Coturnix japonica: one gene and its partners. The main gene of each other region encodes a partner of the protein of the gene in region 4 in a complex. Links are inferred from orthologs where the notes say so. Each region holds a gene or a part of one and is shown on either strand. Other genes may lie near its edges. The genes, in order: cytochrome b-245 chaperone 1, RAC2, NCF2, cytochrome b-245 heavy chain and cytochrome b-245 light chain.

Region 1 (3,661 bases), on a different chromosome or scaffold from region 4:
CGCTCTTTTTTAATGACCCCAGTATTCCATTGGCTTTTTTGGTACTACGTCACACGTGGCTCATGCAACTCTGTCGTCACTGCGACGCCCAGATCTTACCTCTAGCAGAGCTCCTCTCTCACAGCTCTTCCCACCAGCCTGTAGCTGGTGCACATGCAATTATTTCTCTCAGGTGCAAGACTCTAACACTTGCTTTTGTTAAACCTCATCCTGGTTCTTTATTGCCTCAGCTCTCCAGCCTGTCCAGGTCTCACTGAATGGCAGCACAGCCTTCAGGCGTGTCAGCCAATCCTCCCAACTTCGTGTCTTCAGCAAACTTGCTGAGGGTGGTCACTATCCCCTCATCAAGGCTGTTGATGAAGATGTTGAACAAGACCGTACCATGTTGGTCATCCAGCAAATATCTGAATAATTGAAATCCCCCATAAGTAGCAGTGCCTGGGAGTGTGCTGCTACTTCCAGTTGCTTATGGAAGGCCTTATCAACCTCCTCCTCCTGATCAGGGGGCCTGTAGTACACGCCCATAACAGTGTCACCTTTGCCAGCCTGGCCCTTGATTCTCACCCACAAGGTCTGGACTTCTACATCACTCTCCCCCAGGTGGAGTTCAATACATTCTAGCTGCTCTCTCACATAAAGAGCAGCTCCACCACCCCGCCTTGCCAGCTGATCTTTCCTAAAAAGCACGTAGCCCTCCATGTTGTCATTCCAGTCATGCGAGCTGTCCCACCACGTCTCCGTGATCGCAATGAGATCATGGCCACGTGACCGCACGCAGAACTCCAATTCTTCCTGTTTATTCCCCATGCTTTGTGCATTGGTATACAGGCACTTGAGAGAGGCAGCATCTCCCCACCCCTCTCCGTGCCTTTTAACTCCATTGTCTGCACCCAGCGAGCTCTGCTTTGAGTCTTGAACTGCCGCCTCAGACCCAGCGGCCCTCGTTTTGTCCCCTTCCCCCATCCTACCTAGTTTAAACACCTGTCAATAAGTCCTGACAGTTCCTCGGCTAGAACCCTCTTACCCCTTTGAGACAGGCCGCTTCCGTCTGCAGCTGTCATGCCAGGAGCCAAATAAATTGCCCCATGATCAAAAAAACCAAGACTCCTATGTCTGCACCAACTCTTTAACCATTTGTTTAAGAGGTGGGTTTTTAGGTCCAACTCAGTATCCCTCCCTGCCACTGAAGGTACAGATGCAATAACCACCTGCACACCTGTTCCTTCGATTACCCGCCCCAGTCCCCTGAAATCATCTTTGATAGCCTTCAGGCTTTTTTTACTAACTTCTTCACTGCCAGCCTGAACTATCAGCAGGGGATAGTAGACAGAAGGGCAGATCAGACTGGGAAGTCTCCCAGCAATGTCCCTGACAAAACTCTTAGGTTCCACCGAGATTTGAACTCGGATCGCTGGATTCAGAGTCCAGAGTGCTAACCATTACACCATGGAACCGCTTGATGATATGGAACTGCTGATATGATTATTATTTGGTGTAACTTTTTCAAACCACTTGCAGCAGGAACTGTGAAAAGAGGATTAATGTGTTCTGACAAAGAATTGCTTGGCTTGATGTGCATCTGTATGTAGGATGCTGTCAGTCGTGCTCTGTCATATCAGCTGGCCCTTTAAAGGATTGTTCTCAAGAGTCATAGAATGACCAAGGTTGGGAAATACCACCAAGTTCACCTAGTCCATCCACCCATCACCACTATTTTTCACTAAACCACGTCCCTTAGTGCAGAACTTCAGTAATTCTTGAACACCTCCAGGAATGGAGACTCAGCCGTCTCCCTGGGCAGCCCATTCCAGCACCTGACCTCTCTTTTGGAGAAGAAATTAATGTACGTGTTATAGTTTCATCAGCACAGTTCTATTAACTCCTACACTGTTTTCTCTTTCCCACAGTGATGTGGAAGCAGTTGCCAAGCTTGTCACCAGTTTTCTGGAATTGGACAGAGCAGAGAGCCAAGGAGATGTCTATGAGAGCAGCGAAACAGAGCCTAGTGATGCTGATGAACCCCAAGATGAATATTAATAGTCATGAGCTGAAGAAAGCGGAGACATTCAAAGATCTGGAAATGACAGATCGGTTGTTCTTCATTATAAAATTCTTCAGTCTTGACTTGGGCATTTCTCCACACGTGCACTTACAGTGGGAGCAGTCTGTCTTAGGGCACCTTCATTAGTGCTAAACTGCTTCAAGAGCTGTGCTCCCAATTGTAGAATTGAAAGCAAATTCTATCTTAGTTCCTGGATGTGGACACTGCTGTCTTTTGAACTTTGTCAGCTCGTCACAATTGCCTAGGAGTAGTTATTTATTATTGTACAGGTTTAAAAATGTACTTTCCCATTAATGAATTGGAGCTATAGATGTAAGCTTCCACTTAATGCAAAGATCTGCAGGTACAGTATATGAAATGCAGAATAGCTGAATTTAACTCAGAACACAGTGCTTTGAGGTTTTTTGAAATCCTGTAAATGAGTGAATATAATGCTAAATTGGTCTTAAGCAGCTTAATATATGCACTAAGGTGATGCAAGGTAGTGGCACTTTTATATTCTCTACTACTGACTTGCCATTAGCAATGGAAATCATGAGTGATAGTCTGGATTTTTAAACATCAGGTTGCTCAACTTATCTGACTTAGAATTAATAAGGAGCCATAACTAAGAACCAACAAATGATCATGTTGGTCATTCAATGCCTTTATGTTCTGTTTAACTTCTGGGAATAGACTACCCAAAGAATAGCCTTATTCTAGACTTAAATGTTTACTATTTTAACTGTGTATTTAGGAAGGAAGAAAATAGACATTCCTTCAGGTAGGGAAAAGACTGATGTCAGACACCATGGCAGCCTATGTTTGTTTAGTATTTTGCTGTAGTAATGAGGAAGTAAATAGTAACTTAGGCATTGCTTTTAAGATAGCTGGGCTCAGTGTTTGGCTTGGGCCCGTGTGCTACTCTGTGTGTACTGCCTCTGTTCTGACCACTGTTTTCATAAATGGTTAAAATGATGAATTTTCCAAGGTACTCTATGAAGTAAAAGCTACCTCTTTTAGTCAACATGTTCTGTCTTGAGCTGAAATGTCATTGTGCCTCTATCAACTTGCTGGTACTACAAGTACAGAAATTGTAAGAGCTAGAAGTTCCTTTCCTGTGCTAGAACTGCTTATACTCGAGTTTACCAACTTGTGTTAGGAGTTGTATGGAGTTAAGACCTGAATTAGAAAATACTGATAGTTTCCTCTGGGAGGTCTGAATAGCCTGCAAGGTGATGGAGCAATCTGCCTCCATGCCAGCAGTTAAATGTCTGTTGGCCTCTGTTTCTTCAGGACTTAACCCACATTCCTATTAAAAAACACTCTACCTCTAAAGAAGTGAAAGTTACGAAACGATTTCAGTCGTGTGTTCCATTGGTAACAGAAACTGTGTACGTTTATCTGACCAAAGAACAGGTTGATCTCACTTCCAGCCATTTGTGAGACCAACACGCTCTTACTGCTGGTTTGAAAGGCTCATCCAAGTGTAATGGGGAGCTGCTCTTGATGCAGCCTGACTGTGGCACCGAACCAGGTGTGTTAGTATTAAATAAGAACTTGTAATCGTGTCAGGTATCAAAACAGACCTCTATCTGCAGATGTGCTCTTGAAGTACTC
Region 2 (4,383 bases), about 55 Mb from region 4:
ACCTGCTTTCCGTGCCTCCCACCCACCCCCAGACTGCAGATGTGTCACTCACACAGTGGGGATGTATTCTCCTGGGAAGGCATTGGTGGTGTAGCTGATGAGGAGACAGGTTTTCCCCACAGCTCTGGAAGAGAAATAAAAAACATAGCTGGGAACAATGGTAGTACAGGTAGTCTTACAGGGGTGAGATGGAGAAACCCTCCCATGACTCAAAGCTACAAGTTTGTTAGGAGAACTATGGAAGGATTATCACATTCACAAGACTAGATATCACATAGCCATAGATTTGACTGCCGGATGGAAGGAAGATATGCTGTCACCCAGAGCAGTCGGTTGTCTTTGAGCACAAAAGCTTGTTTTTATGGTCTGGTATGAAGACTGTTCAGTTAGACTACATCCAGGTGGGGATAAGAGCCCCTTTTCCAGTGTGTGCACAGTACTGCACACTCATAGCCAGGATAGCCTCACAGTGTCCTGGTGCAGAAATGTCAGAACTAAGCTTCCCAGCTGTCCGCAGCCTTGACAGTTTGCACCATCTATGAGCCACTGCAAGCTGCACTATCAACCTTACCAAGAGCTGCAAGCCACCAGTAAGGTGCCTCTCCTTGTGGCTGACTGAGGCTGCTCACACTTTTTTTGCGCATATAGCTGGTGCTTCCTCCTTCCTCAGCCTCTCCCACCCACACACCGCATCAGGGTGGAGAGAAATAAGTCAGGGTAGCAGCACAAGACAGAATGGGCAAGAGGACTGGTGGAGACACTCCATCTGGCCATGAAGCAGCCTCCAAGCTTTTCATCCATACCTGCAAAGTCTACTTTTGCAGAGCTGTGGCTCTGTGTGTTGGTGTGCCCTTGTCATGCACAGTTGGCATCTTTGCTCTGGTGGTGAGGCACTTGCCTCAGTCATCACACTGTGAAGCAGCTGAAGATGAAACAGTTCTTCAGCATGCTCTGATGCTTTTTTTTCTCTCTGCCACCTCCCATTCTTATATCCTCCTCACTGAGTTCCCTCTCTTTCCCCAGCTTCCCTCTTAGCTCTTGTTGTAGATGACCATGGAGGCTCACTCTATGCAGAACGGCTCAGAAGACCTGTGGTGCCAAGGGGGTGAGTTAGGCATGGAAAGGAGAGAAGGTTCTGAATTAGTGTGACTGAACTGAGAGGAGCACAAAGGGTCACCAAAGGGGTGAAGGTTATGGCAAAGCAGGTTCCTGTGATTGAACTCAGGGAGAGCTAAGAGGCAGGTGATATGTGATGGGGCTGGCTATGAGGCCAGAACAACTATGGGGGAACATGAGGGGTCAGTTAAGTGATGGCAGAAGGTCCTGTGGTCAGTAGGTTTGAGTTGGTGGAAAATGACAAGGCTGGTTTGGCTGAGAGGGAGATGAAGGGGGTGAAATAAAACCACAGAGCTCAGGGTGGTGACAACTAGTTGGAGGGTGGGGGAAGTGTACAGAGAAGCAGAATTATGGGGCAGACAAAAGATTTAGGAGGATTTCAGTCAGAAGGACGTGTAGTGGAGTCAGTGGTGTTATAAGGGGAATGCTGCCTTGAGGGGTGGTTACAAGAGTCAGCATAATATATGGAGGGCAACCCACAGGTTAACAGGACAACATATCAATGCCCAGTACTGTTGCTCTTCCAGCTCTAGCCTGTACCCTTTGGTGCACTTTTCCAAAATGTAACAATGTTTACACAGCACTGTCTCATTCCCTGTCTCTTCCTCCAACCCTGTTGCCCCAGCCTCTGAGAATATGTCTGACATCTATTGCTGTTTGCAAACTTCTTCCTCCATGGGGTAGATCTGAAGGAGGAAGTGACTGTGGGGAGCAGGGCTGCTGCAAATGTCTCTTCATCTGTTGCCTGATAGCTGTCCCAGATAACATTCTGGCCAGCTCCCAGCTAGGAAATGAATTAACCACCTCCATGCCTGATGACCTGCTCCCTGCTGGACTCTGCTCCCTTCATCCACTCATCCCACCCATCCACAGACCTTGTACCCCAGGTCCCCAGCACCACTGCCTTGCTTTTTGTCAGCTTAGATCGATTTCCAAAGGTCATGGGACATGGACAGTGCATGCTTCCAAGGGGTATAAACCTACACCCATCTCATTGCAATCCCTTTTTCCTTGCGCCCACAGAAGCCCATCACCAAATACTCTCCCCACACACTGAAAAATGGACAACACATTAAGAAAGGCTGAATGTGCAGATACTGGAGGATATCTCATCAGCACTATGGCTCTGCATCTTCCTTTGGCCAGCCCCAGTGAGCAGATGGCCTTCAAGGAGCCATTCCCCTGCAGCAGGGCGCTTGCACCTCTCAGATTTTCAATCTGACTCCTACCCATAGGTTGAATCTGGCAGTGATGCCACTGCCTTCTGTGTGTGAGCCAGATCTGCCAGGCCTGTGAGTGACAGTTCCACTTTTGCAAATGCCCTTCAAAGCACCCTCTTCTCCCCCCCCAGGCTCTTCAGAGCCAAGTTCCTTGCCATGGTGAAGAAAGAGGAGCAAGAAATGCAATGCAGAGCTGTAAGAGATAGGAAATGAAGCTGGGGAGGTCTCAGCAAGCAGCAACCTTCTTCCTCACCCCTCATCACCACTCCTCCCTCCCACAGAAAAAGAAGGGGATACATACCCATCTCCCACCACGACACACTTGATGGCTTGCATGTCCTTAGACCTGTGGTGGAGGACAGTGCCTGGGGCAAAGGAAAGTCAGGTCAAGGCAAACAGCCAGTAGACACGGGCAAATTTGGGTATCAGACCTTGAGCCGGAGCAAGGGGTCAGGTTGCAGGGAGGGAGGAAGTGGAAGAGGGAACTTCACTCAATCGCCCTCTGGTTCCTCCTCCCCTCCCACCGCAGCTCTGCAGTGAGGCCGTTAGCTGTAGGCGGAGCGTGCATGACTTTGTGGTTTGGGAGATTATTGCTGTAATTTTTTTCTTTTGCACCTCATGTCTCAACCCACTGCCTTCCTGCCCCATCCGAGCCAACATCTGGGGGCACCAAACTGCTTTTGCATGGGAGCTGAGGTAATGTTGGAGAAGGGTGAGAAACTGGAAGAGTGGGCTTTCCCCTCTCATCTGTAGCATACAGAGTTTGAAAGAGGTGTAAACAGGCAAGAGGACCTGCAGTGAGAGTAGCAAAGGACATGAGGCAATGAGGATTTCCCATGTCTTCCCTGTATCAAAAGGACAAGAGGTAATGGCCTCACGTTTCTCTGGGGAAAGTTCAGATTGAATATTAGGAAGAATTTCTTCTCAGGAAGAGCAGTGATGCAGTGGCACAGGCTGCCCAGGGAGGTGGTGCAGTCACCGTCCCTGGAGGTGTTCCAGAGCCGTGTGGATGTGGCACTGAGGACATGGTCGGTAGGTATGGTGGGGATGGGCTGGCAGTTTGATTGGGTGATCTTGGTCTTTCCAGCTCTAATGGGTCTATCCCTCAGTGTCAGTGGTGAAATAAGCAGTCTCTTGGAAGCAGCATCTACCCCATGGCTGCTTGTTCCACCACCCCTGGAGCAATAATGTCCTGTGCCTCCTCCTCATCTGCTCCTGAATTACTAGTACAAAGAAGCATTAGGTGTATCTATGTGTTTGTCATGAAGAGGAGTAAACATATCAGAGGATGTACTGAATTTTCTTTATCCAGCTGCTACTAGAAGAGCTAAGAATTGTGCAAGAGAGTCCCCACAAACCATTTTCTCTCTCTCCACTCTGTGCTAAAGCAGCCTATGAGAACTGCTGATAGGATATCCTTCATCTTGTCCTTGGGATTTTGAAGAGTTTTAGAGCTAAGCAACAAAGAGAGGGATGCAGTCACCTTCAGAAATAAGAGACATGGTGCTCTACTCCTTCCTTTCACTCCTCAGAATGAGAGTCTGAAGCTCCTCCTTACTTCCCCCAGCTTGCATTGCTATGCCTGGAAAAGAGCGCACATGTTCATGTCTTCAGCCTGAATTGATGGGTAGACAGATAGAGGCACACTTGAGAGAGGAAGGGATGCGGTGACGCAGAATTAATTAGAATTTCTAGGTCTGTCAGGAGGCCTGTTAGACCAAGAGCAGTGGGTGTTAAGCCAGCTTGTTCTTGAAAGAAGGAATGCCGAGGGAAACTGCTTTTCCAAAGGTTGGTGACCTTCGTGCTGCCACAGCCACAGGAGGTTTTTTGCAGTTGACCCATTCAGGTGTGTAGCACTTTCCTATCCGTCACTCAGTGTTGGCTGCAACCCAAAAACATTCAACCGTGGAAAGTTTCCAAGCCTCGCGGCTGTGTCAGAAGCATAAAACTACCAGATGTACTAGGTGTTCCCTCTGTGGGTGGTAGGGAAAGGGGGGGGGGAGGAAACCCACTGACTCCTTTGCAAGAGCAGGAATGGGATGTGGAA
Region 3 (3,564 bases), on a different chromosome or scaffold from region 4:
CTGAGGCCCAGTACCCTTCTAAGGGTGTGAGCAGCTCCCCTACGTTCTCCACCTTAGCAACACCACCGTTTTTTGTTGCATTTCGAATATGTATTTCCTTTTAAAAAGTCCAAAAAGTGAAGTTTCCACCCAATGCTAATATTGACTCAGCCCCCCCCTCCCCTACCCCCCTTTCCCCACCCCTATCCCAGCCCCCTCAGTTTGTGTATTGAGCTGTGCACCCCGGCAGCTGCGACATTCCAGTGTTTGAACTGCCGCTGACTCTTGCACCCTCAGCGAGCTGACCCAGGTTCACCACCTCACTCCTGGCAGTGCCAGGTCCCAGCGCACCGCTCCACTTGTGCATGAGAACCCGGTGTCAGGAACACGGCCGGCTCTGGGCTGGGACCCCCATCCTGCCCTCCGGTGCCTGGGGGAGCGAGGGAAGGGACCCCAACAGAAACTGGTTTGTGTCGTAAGCTTTTTTTGTGTTATTTGTCTGTCTGTGCAAGAACTGCAGCTGCTGAAATCAGCTTTGCCTTTAATTAAACCATGTTCTCTTCATCCAGGTCTGTGTGGTTACGTTTATTTCCCCCCATGTAACTGAGCTGCGGGCTTTGAAAAACACATTATTACATTATTTTTCTGGAGAAAATTGAAAGAAGGTTTAAAGTTTTATTTTATTTTCCAATTTGAAAGAAAATGAAATAAATTGCAAAGATGTTTTATTTTCCTGCTTTTGCACTTTTAGGTCTGTTTTCAGATGCAGTAATTAACATGGGAACTTCTTATTTGCAGCACTTGAATTCTTAATTTCTTTCAGTCTCCTTAAACTCTTCTGAAATCACATTTCTGGGTCTTTAGTGTTACCATCTCGAACAAAAGCAGAGGGGAAGATGCCGATCTTTCCATTGCATTGCCCTTCCAACCAGTCTTCGTTCACTGCAAGATAAAATTGATGCCATTTTTGTCACCCTAGGGATGTGCAGGAGCACCATTACCCTCTTGTGCTGCAGGCAGGCCTCAGATCAGAACGTTAAGATCATCTGCAGGAAAATAGCAATGTAACATTACAAAACCATGACAATAGCCTCCCCTCTCCCACAGTGGCAGGAGCACCATTACCTTTGGATAAAACAAGTATCACATCTCCTGCCTGAAACTCCAGGTCTTCGGGTTGGGTGGCCTCATAACTGTACTGTGCTACCACTTGGCTTGGTCCTGTCTCTGCTGTTGCCTTCTGTGGCTCCTCTGGTTTGCTGTCAGGTAAAAATCCCTCTCCCTAGGGCAGGAAAGAAGCTGGTGAAGTCACCATGCGGCTTCTGCTTTGTTCCAGATCATGGCAGATAAGCTCTGCTTAGGCTTCATCCTCTGCCATTGAGCCCCTTGCCGGCACCAGTAGAAGAGCTGGTGGCTGGTGCTGCCACCCACCTCTGTGCAGTCACACCACACTGTCAGGCACTGATCCTTGCTGTGGCTCCAAGCTGCCTCCAGGTTCTGCATGCTCAGAGTCACCAGCTCTTTGCTGACTGCAGACTTGTACCTGGGCACCAGAGGACACAGGTAAGGGGAGAGCCACGAAAACTTGACTCCTGCAGCAGACAGTTCTCACCTCAGCATTGTGTGCTCAGGTTGCAGCTCCAGCTTGTCACAAATGAGGCCCAGGAGCTCCTTGTAGGACAGGTCTGGTTTGACTTGCATGGCAACCGTGTATTTGTAATGCACCTTGACAATATAGGGCTTGGGGACAGCCGGTTCGGTTTCCTGCAGGTGGTGAATTGGGGCATCAGGCTTCTCTCCCAAGCTGTATGTGATGTGGATCTGGGCTCTACCTTTTCACTGCAGCACAAGGTCTTACCTTATTGGCTTCTCTCTGCTGCGCTGATGTAACAGGAATGAAATCTGAGGAGGAAGGAAAAGATGGGTCAACAAGTGGAGCACAGTGTAAGCTTTACTGCTGTGGGCATAAATGTGATTCCAGATCCTCTCAGCCCTTCTCTTCAACACCTGCTGTTATCTGTAGCACCACCCAGCCCTGGAGCCGGCTGTGGTTGCCCAAACAGATCAGTATCAGCTACAGTGAGGTTCTTCTGTGGGGTTCCTCAGTAACCACAAAGAGGCCAGGGCTCTGCCTTGCCTGCTGTTGTTTCAGGTGGTCACTGTGCTCACAATGTAGGGCCTGTTCAGTGTTTGTAGGGATTGGAGCTTTAGGTGCGATGCTGTTCCTCTGTGGGCTTTGATGTTACTGATGCATTTGCAAGCACAAAAAGCACAAACAACAATGTATCTTGCCCTCTGTCATATAGTTGCTTCTGGCCCCAGCCCTACCCCAGGTGCTGAGAAGCACCAGCAGCACATCTTCCCAGCGCAGTCGTAGCTCCCAGCTGCCCTGCTGTATGGAGAAGCCTGTAATGCATGTTGTGCTCTGGGACTTATGCAAGCTGGGTCACTTGCCCTGTTGTTTTCCCCAGGCCCTTTTTCCCATTAGCTGCTGCCCTAATTAAGAGCAAAAAGGGGACCTCGAGCTTTGTTGTTGTTCCATCCTCGGTGCTGCAGCTGCAGCATTGCCTCCTGATTTAAACCCACGCTATAAAAGAGGCAGAGATGGCCCCCAGCCCTGGTTCTCCATATCACAGTACACAAGAGACTGTCCCTGCAGTTCCCCCATCCCTCCCCTCCATACACTGACCTGGTGCTGGCCGCCGGGGCCTTGGAGCGGTGCTGCTGGGTGGCTCAGGGATGTCGGGCTCGGGAGGGGCCTCCTCCTGTGCCAGTGTGAAAAGGACAGTGCAGGCAGTCAGCATCCCTAAGGGGAGCAGGCACAGCCCAGGGGTGCTGCTGCCTTGGGGACCCCGTCCTGCTACTCAAGGCAGGAGTCCTGGGGCTAAGCTTTGCCTGCTGTCCATTGATTTGGGGTGGAACAGGGCAGTAGCCATGAGATAGCCATGAGCCAGGAGTCCCACAGCATTGTAAGAGAGATTTGCAGGCATGGATCCTGCTGGGTGATCTATGTGGTTTCCTGGGGCCACCAGCTCCTCCTGGGCTCCTTACCTGGACGTGCAGCTTGTGCTGGAGCTCCATGGGCTCAAGGAAGTTGCAGGGGACGATCCCTTTCTGCAGGGAAGAGACAAAGGGAACAGATGGTGTTAGTCGACCGTCCAGGAGATTGAAGGAATGATTTCTGTATGGCACCCCAAGATGGGCAGCAAGGGTGAACCAGCTCACTTTATTGCCTTGAGCACATGTGGTCAGGCAAACAAAGCAGCACATCTGGCCCCTGCCTGGTAGGAGCAACAGGAGCAGGACACCAGGAGGTTGCCTCTACCAGCTCATAGCCCCTCAAATAGGGGATGCAAGGAAACTGGGTTCAGAAACTCCTTCCAGGCCTCTGTAAATCTCCCTTTTGTGCCAGGCAGACCCCCTACCTTCCCATTGAACATCACCGTAGCCCAGTTGTCCTTCTCTTTCTTCAGGACAAAGACGATGTTTCCTGGCAGGACCTGCAGCTCCTCAGCAGTTTCAGGGATGAACTCATACAGGACACGGTGTGGCTGCCCTTCAAGAGCCCTGGGAATGGAAGCCAGC
Region 4 (4,303 bases):
ACCAAAGCACAAAACATACACATCTCTGGGATGTTACACCAATGATGTTTCACGTTTTCAGAAGGTTCAAACACCAGAATTAAACTGAGGGTGTTGTGTGGGTGGTTTTGCTACCAACTCTAGCCACACCTGTTACATACAGAAACCATGCAATGGCTTTTTGCTAAATGTTGTCCTGTCGATTTTCATATTAATGGCAACCCTCCCAAATATCAGAGAGCTACAGCATCCACCAGCTCTGGAAGTATTCAAGACCTCTATGCCTTGAGTTCAGGTGGTGAAATAATCTATGGGTATTTAATAACTGCTTGACTGAGAGCAGCTAAAATATATTCTGCCTCATGGCTGCTAGTTAGGCTGTCAAGAGAGTGTCATATTTTGACAGTTGTGACTGATCGGAGCTTTGCCCCTGTGGGGTTTATGGCCTGCCAGAAGCCTCCTAAGGCAGTGAGTCCATGTTTTGGTGGCTCTTATGTCTGAGGAGCTGCCTCTTATGTCTGCTGAAGCTCAGAGCATCCTGGCTTCACACACTTGCTTGGAAGAAAAGACAGGTAGAGTACTGCTATTTCTGGGTGGAAGGAGCTGGCTAGTCTTCACAGCTAGAATAGACATCCATGAATCAGAACAGACACTTTGCCTTCCCTGTCCACTTTTCATTGTATGCTCTTTATTGTGGGTTTGGGAACTGTGATACCACAGAGGCAAAACATTCAGAAATCATTAAACTACCTCAAAGGTATTGTTAGTTAAAGAAAGAATACCTTTGGAATAAATGTTTGATGAGCTTGTAAGCTACAAAATATACATGGACAATTTTCCATATTCTTCTCTCCAATCACAGAAGCAAAGTCTTCATTATAATTATTATCATTATTTTCTATAGTGACTGGATTCCCAGGGCTGGAACTGTGTGAGAGTACAAAAAAAGAAGAAAAAAAGGGACAGTCAAGTGACATGTGTCCTTCCTGTTAACCCAAGTGGAGAGGAGATGTTAAGGTTTGCATGTATGTCCCAAGAAAAGAAGAGCTTTTGATTATATGTGGAGACTTCCATGAACCTCAAGAGATCAAAACATAAAACATTCTAGTGACTATTTGTCAAAAGGGATCTGCAGGAATGGCATCTCTGACCTGGGATGATAAAGACAAGGCCAGGGATGAGAGAATTCTTCTGTGAATTGTGTATTACAGTTCAGTGCTGAAAGTTATTTAAAGTGGCAATACATTTTTCAGCAGAAAGCCTCACTAGTTATGTTATTTATTTTATCCACAGTTCGTATCTTGAGGAAGAGATGGTTTATCTCAATCATTTATATATATATGAGTTATAAAAAGTTGGTAGAAACACATTTGAAATTGAACTATGGGTATGATTCAATGGTTAATTTATTTCCTAAATGAATGAAAAAGGAAACAGGTTGCTGTAAGCTTCTGCTCTCACTTCCTTATGAGAGAAGTTACAGACAGTGTCCCAGAAAGAACGGGGCTGTTGTGCATTCTCATCTCGGGCAAACATGGGTAACTGGGTGGAGAATGAAGGACTGTCCATCTTTGTCGTCGTAAGTACCATTTTTATTGTGATTTGTGTCCTGTAAAAAGCTCTACAGGACATTTTAATAAGCAGATCTCTTTGTGTCAGTGAATACTGTGTGTGTTTGATTATTCTCAAGCCAGGGCAGCAAGTGCAGTGACGCACTTCAAGAACATGATTTTTATGGAGCTCTCCCTGGTACATGTGTCGCTGTAGGCTTCATTGTGAACTGAGTAATGGTTGTATGTCAGCTGTTTTCTTTGCTAGAAATGAATTTAAGTACCTGCTATTTTTGGGTGCAGCAATGTCTTAAGGGAAAAAAATAACACTGCATCTCATTGTTAACGACTGAACTTCAAAATAGAAAGCAATCACAACAACGAGGTTTTCTTGCACTTTTGTACACAGAAGTAGATGTAATTGAGAGCACGGTGGATGTGTCCTGAGGATAGAAAATTAGCATTAGAGTGAGAGTCCAGAATTTAGAGCAGAAAGTCATGAATTCTTCATTAGGGCAACTTGCATTTGAATCCATTTTGTATATAGTTTGCATGGAGTGGCTGTGAAGGTATGTTCAATTCATTCCATGCAAGACTTAGAAGTACTGAAAATCTCATTCTCATTTCATCGAGATAAACTGGGAAAAAACGTAGGCAGAAGTTAGTATTTCAGAATTCTTTTTTTCACATCAGCGCAATATCACACTCAGTACAAGTATATGTGTGTGCTTATATTATAATATAATACATAACGCCATTTAAGGGATTTCTGCAAAGTTGGGTTAGTATATGTAAGTACTGTTCACTGAAATCCTTACCAAAGCATTCTGCTCTGTCCACTACAGCATTATTTTGCAGGGCTGTCCCATGCCTGATAGAAACAGACATGATTTGTATTGGTTTGCCCCAGTGAAGCAGATACCTATCAGCCTTAATGGCAGCACACACTCCCTCCACCTGCCCTAGCTGAAGAGTGTGGGTGGCAGTTAACTTTGCCACCCAGCTCCAGTTGGCAAAGGGTGCTGCAGTGTTTTGCAAAGGGTCCATGTTCTGAATGGGTCAGCACCAAGAACTATGAGAGTCCATCACAGATCGGCATCTTGTGAGGCAACTGTACTTGGAAGTAGCACAGTTTCGTTTTAAGTGCGTGAGCATTTGATCTTGAGATTAATTTTATAATAAGGATTTGGGGATTCCCTATATACTCCCTTAAACTGGTGGAAATCCCTTCACTTTCCCAGACTAAATCCATATATCTAATGTCTTCAATGCCAAACTAATCCCAGGTTTTTACGATGTCAGTTTGGGCCAAAGGACCAGCAAAAATATGGGTTAGGAGGGCTGTCAAATCACAGTTTCTGGTATACTTAACTTACATGCATGGACTGAGTTTTCTCCTAGTTCTTGGAGTTTCTTTTCTCTGTTTTTCCATCCTGGTTAATCTATTTAGAATAGAGGTGCAGTGATACAGATTGTACCAGATACCTCAGTACGTGAAATCAGCCAACAGCTGATTTGAAGGGCAAGTGGCCAAATTCATTATAATTTCTGCAGCCAGATGAGCTCCTTAAATAATTTGGAGGAGGGCTAATAACTTCTCTTTTCCTGTAGAAATCCACACTGTAGAATACACAACTGTGAGAGAATACTGCAGTATAGCTATGAAGAAGCCTGGTTTTGGGTAGTCTAAACTCTACCTAGGTGCCTACATTAAATATTTCTTGTGACTGATTTCATATTTAGAGCCTCCTACACAATAGAAAACGTTATGGTCAGGCCTCGGGTGTAATTAAGGCAATCTATATTTAGAGCTCAAGCTTCTTAGTGCTGTTGCATAGCAATTAAGTGTTCCTCTTGCAACGGTTAATATGCCTGAGGAAGTGCTGTTTGGAAGAGGCCCTAACTTTTAATGATGTTTAGAGATTCAACTGGACTCACAGACTTAACTAGACACATGTAACATTACAGTCCTTATATAATCATGTGTAAATGCTTTGAACTGTGCAAATATCTGTATTTGGGTTTATTGCCATTCTTATACTCCTCAAAGCTAATTTCTACCAGGAAAAAGAAGTATATATATATACATATGTATATATATATATATAGTCCTTGCTGAGCCCTTCATACTCAGCAGCACAGCTGTCTCTACAAATAGAAACACAGTGATCTCATTGGCCATTTTCTGTGCTGTGTAAATTCTCATGAATGATCTTTAACAACAGAGTTTAAAGTTTCCTCTTCATTTGTCTTTCAGCTTGTGTGGCTGGGGTTAAACGTCTTCCTCTTTTGGTGGTTCTATCTTGCATATGATCTCCCACAAAATTTCTTCTACACCAGAGTACTCCTTGGCGTAAGTACAAAACATACATTATCTTGGCACAGAGTGCACATGCAGCATTTTTCCTCATTTTATTTGATTGAAACTGGATGAATTTGCTGCAGCAGCAGGTTCGTGAAGGAGTCAAATAAACAGATAACTGAATGCACATAGTTGTCAGAGCTTCTGAATAGAAATCTCATCCTAAAGATGTTTCCAGGTAACAATTGTACTCATGGTAATTAAAGTGAATATGCATGGTGGCTGCTTTATTAAGGAGGAGATGAATAAGGCATTGATGTTGGAACTATTGTGCATCCATTTTCCCTTCCAATTGTTTCTCAAACAATTTACATAGGAACATATTCCTAAAAGATGAGGCAATTAATTTCCCCAGATTCCTTTTGCAGAGATGCACACATAGGGGACATTTTGGAGCTAGAGTCCTAGGCAG
Region 5 (4,073 bases), on a different chromosome or scaffold from region 4:
GTGAGGGATGGGGTTGATGCTGGGGGTGGGAGGTGGACGCCTTGTAGGGTGCCCCATGTCTTGTGTTCTGGTGTAGGTCAGCGGGGAGAAGAAGGCGGTGGGCAGCACGGCGGGGATGCAGACCAGTGTGGACACCAGCCCCCTGCTGAAGGTGGGTTGGATGGTTGGTGATGAGCAGCACAGGCTGCATGGGGAGGTGGGGAGGTGTCGGGGTGTGAGCATGGTGGGATGGGTTGGGTTTGGGGATCATGGCCACCTCCTCCAATGGCTGAGTACTGAGGGGCCATGGGAAGTGAATCCTATGGGATCCATGAGATGACCCCCCCCTGGTGCTGCCCCTATAGTACCGTGCTGAGGTGGTGGTGCCGGAGCGCATGACCCGCATGGCTCGCTGCATCCAGGATCGAGACTTTGAGACCTTTGGCCAGCTGACCATGCAGGACAGCAACCAGTTCCACGCCACCTGCCTCGACACCTTCCCCCCCATCTTCTACCTCAATGACATCTCGCGGCGCATCATCGCCCTGGTGCATCGCTTCAATGCCCACCATGGGTGCACCAAGGTAGGGCAGCCCCCCCCCTATGGCCCCGTCCTGCTGGCACTGCACCCCTCTCACTGTGTCCCTGTCCCCAGGTGGCCTATACCTTCGATGCTGGCCCCAATGCGGTCGTCTTCATGCTGGAGGATACAGTGGATGAGTTTGTGGAGGTGGTGAGGCGCAGCTTCCCACCCAGCTCCAATGGGGACCAGTAAGGGTGTTGTCATTTGGGACTGGGGGGGTGGGAATGGGGATGGGGACATTTGGGTGGGAATGGGGATGGAGATGATGGCTATAGGCACTGGTGGGATGGCGATAGGGATGGAGATGTGGACGGGGACTGGTGGGATGGGGATGGGGATGGAACCATGGGACATGGGGTGGGGTTGGGGACATCTGGGTGCCATCCCTGCTGCAGGTTCCTTCGAGGCCGACCCGTTGGCACAGCGGTGCTGCCAGAGGAGCTGCTGTCAGCCGTGGTGATGGATCCGGTACCAGGGGCCATTCGTTACATCCTACACACCAAGGTATGGGAGGTGGGGGTGGTCCTGAGCCTCCTGCTCCGTGCTGTCCCCTAACACATCTCCTGTCCCCACAGCCTGGCCCTGGCCCACAGCTCCTGGATGCCCCCAGCCAGCATCTACTGGGCCCCGATGGGCTGCCATGCCACTCTGCCTGAGAACAGGGGACACCGTGATGGGGACACCGTGATGGGGACACCATTGGGGACAGCAGGGATGCCCAATGGGGGCTGCCCCTGGGGGGCACACAGGCAGGGACCCACCGTCCCATTGCCTGCATTGGGGCTGTGAGATGCTGTGCTCATCTGTCCCCATCCCGACCCAGATGTGGCTCCTCCCATTGCCTGGTTTTTACTCTTTTCTAATCAAATAATAGAGGTTTTCCAGCCGCAGTGCTGCTCTGAGTCCCGAGTCGCTCCGTGGTCCCCATTAGGGCTGCTCCTGCCCCATGTCACCCTATATATTCCCATGTCACCCTATATATTCCCATGTCACCCTATATATTCCCGTATCACCCCGTGTCCCCCTACGGCCCGGCTCTTCGTGGGGGCGTGTCTTTGTAATGAATGGGCGTGGGTTACTCGAAGGGGCGTCGCTTAAGGAGGGGAAGGGGTTCGGCTGTTCGGCTCCATCGCTGCCTTCCGGGTCGGGTTGGGCCGAGCCCGAACTAAGGCTGAGCTCGAACCATGGGGCAGATCGAATGGGCCATGTGGGCCAACGAACAGGCGCTGGCGGCGGGGCTGAGTGAGTGCGGGGGGGAGATGGGGAGTTAAAGGGGCTGGGTGATGGGGGGAGGGTCAAAGGGTCCCATGTGGGATGGGGATGCAGGGATGGGGGTGAGGATATGGGGAAGGGAGTTCAGGGCTGGGGGTGTAGGGTTGAGAATGTGAGGCTATAGATACGGGATATGGGGAGAGACCCCTGGCTGTGTTCCCCCCCGACCCCCCCATCCCGTTTTGGCCCAACCCCGCCCGGAGATGGAGGAAGTGAGCGGCGATGAGGACGCGGAAGCGCTGCCGGAGCGTATCACCAACATCGTGTGTCACCGTGGGTCTCCCCCCCGCTGCCCCCCAGCCCGGCCGCTATAGGGTTTAACCCCCAACCCCCCGCCCCGTTCCCTGTTTGGGCTCGTGGGGGTCCCACGCGAAGCATCCCCCGCTGTTAATAGCCGGGATGCCAGCAGTGTCCCCGCTGTCCCGCAGTCATGCTGACCGGAGGGATCGTGGCGGTGGCGGGGCAGTTCAAGGGCTGGTACTTCGCAGCTTACGCCATGTATCCTTATGGGGCTCGGGGTGGGAGGGGGCACCTTATTCTGTGCAGGCGGGGAGGGGGGGGGGGGGGTCCCTCATCTCCCTCTCTGTGGCCCCACATCGCTCTATTCCTGCCCCTTTCCCTATGGAGCTGCCCCCCAACCCTGGCCCCATTTCTGCCCCATTCCCTGTGGGGTCTCACCCCCACCCTTGGCTCCAAACCCCCCTTTTCCTTGACCCCCATCCCCCTGCAGTGCTGCAGGCGCCTTCGTCTGCCTGTTGGAATACCCACGCAGCAAGAGGCAGAAGGGCTCCACCATGGAGCGCTGGTGAGTGATGGGGTGCTATTGGGGTGCCTATATATATTTAGGGGGGGGGTCTTTTGGGGCCGGGTGCCCCCCTGACTCTGCATATTGCCCCATAGTGGCCAGAAGTACATGACAGCAGTGCTGAAGGTGTTTGGACCGCTCACCCGGAACTATTACATCCGTGCCATCCTGCACGCAGCGTGAGTGGGGTTGGGGCTGGGGGGTGAACCTGAACCCCCCCCCCTTTTAACCTTCCCCTGTACCCTCAGGCTGGCCGTCCCTGCTGGCTTCCTGCTCTCCACCATCCTGGGCACCGTCTGTTTGGGCATTGCCAGTGGCATCTACCTGCTGGTGAGCTCCTCTGGGGGGGTAATGGGGGCTGATTATGGGGCTGAAGGAGGGGGCTCCCTGCTGACTGCTCCCCCCTGGCCCTGCAGGCAGCGGTGCGTGGGGAGGAATGGCGACCCATTGAGCAGAAGCCCCGCGAGCGGCCGCACATGGGGGACACCATCAAACAGCCCCCCAGCAACCCCCCACCCCGACCCCCTGCTGATGCACGCAGGAAACAGGCAGCAGAAGTGGGGGGGCAGGTGAACCCCATCCCTGTAGAGGCTGAGTAACACGGAGCTGGGGGTCCCAGTGCTGCACTCACTTCCCTACTGTACCCCTCACCCCCCCATTGGTCCCCAGACCCCTAGGGGTGCTCATCTCCCCTCCTTCCCCCCCCTTGGTTCCTCAGAATCCCTGGGGGCTGCTCAGGTGCCCCCATATCCCAAGGAGCTCCCCCAGCCTCACAGCCCCATTGTGGGCTCACGCAGCTCTGCTTGCTGCGCCACCTCTTCACGTTTTATACATTGTCTTTTTTCTTTTCTGGTTGCTTTTTGCAATAAAAGGACCGAAAGGCCCCAGATCCTTCCTGATCACACCCCATTCATGTGCCCTGGGTGTGAGTTGGGAGCTCAGTGCCCAAATCTTTAGTGACCCCAGCGATGGGACAGACCTGCAGTGGTTAGGGTTAGGGTACCCAGAGGTGACACCCCCAGCCCCATATCCCCTCTCCCCCCACCTCCAGCACCCATGGGTGCTCTAAAAGCATATGGAACAACCCCGGTAGGTGGCGCTGAGTCCATGGGATGTGAGTGCTTGGGGCAGAGCTGTGAGAAAGGAGTGGGTGGTGACAGGGTGCTGGCATGGGGCCGCCCCCATTCCCCCCCCTTCCCTCCCCATTGCCTCCCCCTTCCCCTGGGTGTGCTTTGGGGATGGGAGATGCCCCCCAGCATCCACTGGGGTGGCTGGGATGGGGGTTCCCAATGCACCTCTATCCCCGCATCCTTGGCACCTCCCCTCCAGCATCCACAGGGGGACCCTGTGCACCTCAACCCTTTGCCCTCCCATTTATCCCAGTGTGGCACATTGTGGGGTCAGGCTTTTATTTTCAGGCTGGCGTTCAGTAGC

What was found.
Region 1: the proteins of cytochrome b-245 heavy chain (region 4) and cytochrome b-245 chaperone 1 are in contact, whole or in part, in a cryo-EM structure (PDB 8KEI), measured with the Homo sapiens proteins. The link is inferred for Coturnix japonica from reciprocal best matches to the Homo sapiens genes CYBB and CYBC1. Residues at the interface, in NP_000388.2 of Homo sapiens: Trp28, Asn74, Leu75, Leu76, Ser77, Phe78, Leu79, Arg80, Gly81, Ser82, Ser83, Ala84, Cys85, Cys86, Trp206, His210, Phe212, Pro266, Met268, Trp270, Lys271, Ile273, Tyr280, Tyr324, Phe326, Lys328, Leu335, Glu336, Trp337, His338; in NP_001028218.1 of Homo sapiens: Arg22, Leu26, Ala37, Ser41, Gly42, Asp43, Trp47, Phe50, Tyr51, Phe57, Gln61, Asn62, Glu64, Lys77, His97, Asp98, Gln99, Val100, Val101, Val102, Leu103, Arg108, Ser111, Glu115, Val117, Arg118, Tyr119, Phe120, Arg129, Ala131.
Region 2: cytochrome b-245 heavy chain (region 4) and RAC2 share a complex: the UniProt entries of both Homo sapiens proteins name them as parts of the phagocyte NADPH oxidase complex. The link is inferred for Coturnix japonica from reciprocal best matches to the Homo sapiens genes CYBB and RAC2.
Region 3: cytochrome b-245 heavy chain (region 4) and NCF2 share a complex: the UniProt entries of both Homo sapiens proteins name them as parts of the phagocyte NADPH oxidase complex. The link is inferred for Coturnix japonica from reciprocal best matches to the Homo sapiens genes CYBB and NCF2.
Region 5: the proteins of cytochrome b-245 heavy chain (region 4) and cytochrome b-245 light chain are in contact, whole or in part, in a cryo-EM structure (PDB 8X2L), measured with the Homo sapiens proteins. The link is inferred for Coturnix japonica from reciprocal best matches to the Homo sapiens genes CYBB and CYBA. Residues at the interface, in NP_000388.2 of Homo sapiens: Thr116, Ile117, Leu120, Phe121, Val123, Glu124, Asn128, Asn133, Lys161, Asn162, Pro163, Gly166, Leu167, Ala170, Val180, Thr183, Leu184, Ile187, Leu188, Thr191, Ser192, Thr194, Lys195, Thr196, Ile197, Arg199, Ser200, Tyr201, Glu203, Val204; in NP_000092.2 of Homo sapiens: Gln3, Ile4, Glu5, Trp6, Met8, Trp9, Glu12, Gln13, Ala16, Ile20, Thr23, Val27, Gly31, Phe33, Thr34, Gln35, Arg56, Arg59, Met65, Gly102, Phe103, Leu104, Leu105, Ala106, Ile108, Leu109, Ala112, Cys113, Ile116.

The regions. Positions count from the first base shown.
Region 1 is NC_029533.1:3,011,798-3,015,458, forward strand, and holds part of cytochrome b-245 chaperone 1, read left to right. Parts: intron 1-1,382; exon of another isoform or gene 1,383-1,454; intron 1,455-1,907; coding exon 1,908-2,037; 3' UTR 2,038-3,661. UniProt on the Homo sapiens protein: Functions as a chaperone necessary for a stable expression of the CYBA and CYBB subunits of the cytochrome b-245 heterodimer. Controls the phagocyte respiratory burst and is essential for innate immunity.
Region 2 is NC_029516.1:46,919,962-46,924,344, reverse strand, and holds the start of RAC2 (ras-related C3 botulinum toxin substrate 2), read right to left. Parts: upstream 2,847-4,383; 5' UTR 2,673-2,846; coding exon 2,638-2,672; intron 125-2,637; coding exon 53-124; intron 1-52. UniProt on the Homo sapiens protein: Plasma membrane-associated small GTPase which cycles between an active GTP-bound and inactive GDP-bound state.
Region 3 is NC_029523.1:4,321,497-4,325,060, reverse strand, and holds the end of NCF2 (neutrophil cytosol factor 2), read right to left. Parts: intron 3,547-3,564; coding exon 3,405-3,546; intron 3,094-3,404; coding exon 3,031-3,093; intron 2,745-3,030; coding exon 2,669-2,744; intron 1,882-2,668; coding exon 1,838-1,881; intron 1,744-1,837; coding exon 1,592-1,743; intron 1,523-1,591; coding exon 1,411-1,522; intron 1,262-1,410; coding exon 1,105-1,261; intron 1,026-1,104; coding exon of another isoform or gene 1,003-1,025; exon of another isoform or gene 922-1,002; coding exon 824-921; 3' UTR 641-823; downstream 1-640. UniProt on the Homo sapiens protein: Subunit of the phagocyte NADPH oxidase complex that mediates the transfer of electrons from cytosolic NADPH to O2 to produce the superoxide anion (O2(-)).
Region 4 is NC_029516.1:102,024,839-102,029,141, reverse strand, and holds the start of cytochrome b-245 heavy chain, read left to right. Parts: upstream 1-1,433; 5' UTR 1,434-1,513; coding exon 1,514-1,558; intron 1,559-3,786; coding exon 3,787-3,882; intron 3,883-4,303. UniProt on the Homo sapiens protein: Catalytic subunit of the phagocyte NADPH oxidase complex that mediates the transfer of electrons from cytosolic NADPH to O2 to produce the superoxide anion (O2(-)).
Region 5 is NC_029526.1:16,406,226-16,410,298, reverse strand, and holds cytochrome b-245 light chain, read left to right. Parts: upstream 1-1,491; 5' UTR 1,492-1,508; coding exon 1,509-1,804; intron 1,805-2,262; coding exon of another isoform or gene 2,263-2,332; intron 2,333-2,564; coding exon 2,565-2,639; intron 2,640-2,734; coding exon 2,735-2,818; intron 2,819-2,887; coding exon 2,888-2,969; intron 2,970-3,055; coding exon 3,056-3,238; 3' UTR 3,239-3,533; downstream 3,534-4,073. Other genes in the region: MVD (diphosphomevalonate decarboxylase), read left to right, coding at 77-151, 345-563, 635-750, 958-1,066, 1,138-1,218. UniProt on the Homo sapiens protein: Subunit of NADPH oxidase complexes that is required for the NADPH oxidase activity that generates, in various cell types, superoxide from molecular oxygen utilizing NADPH as an electron donor.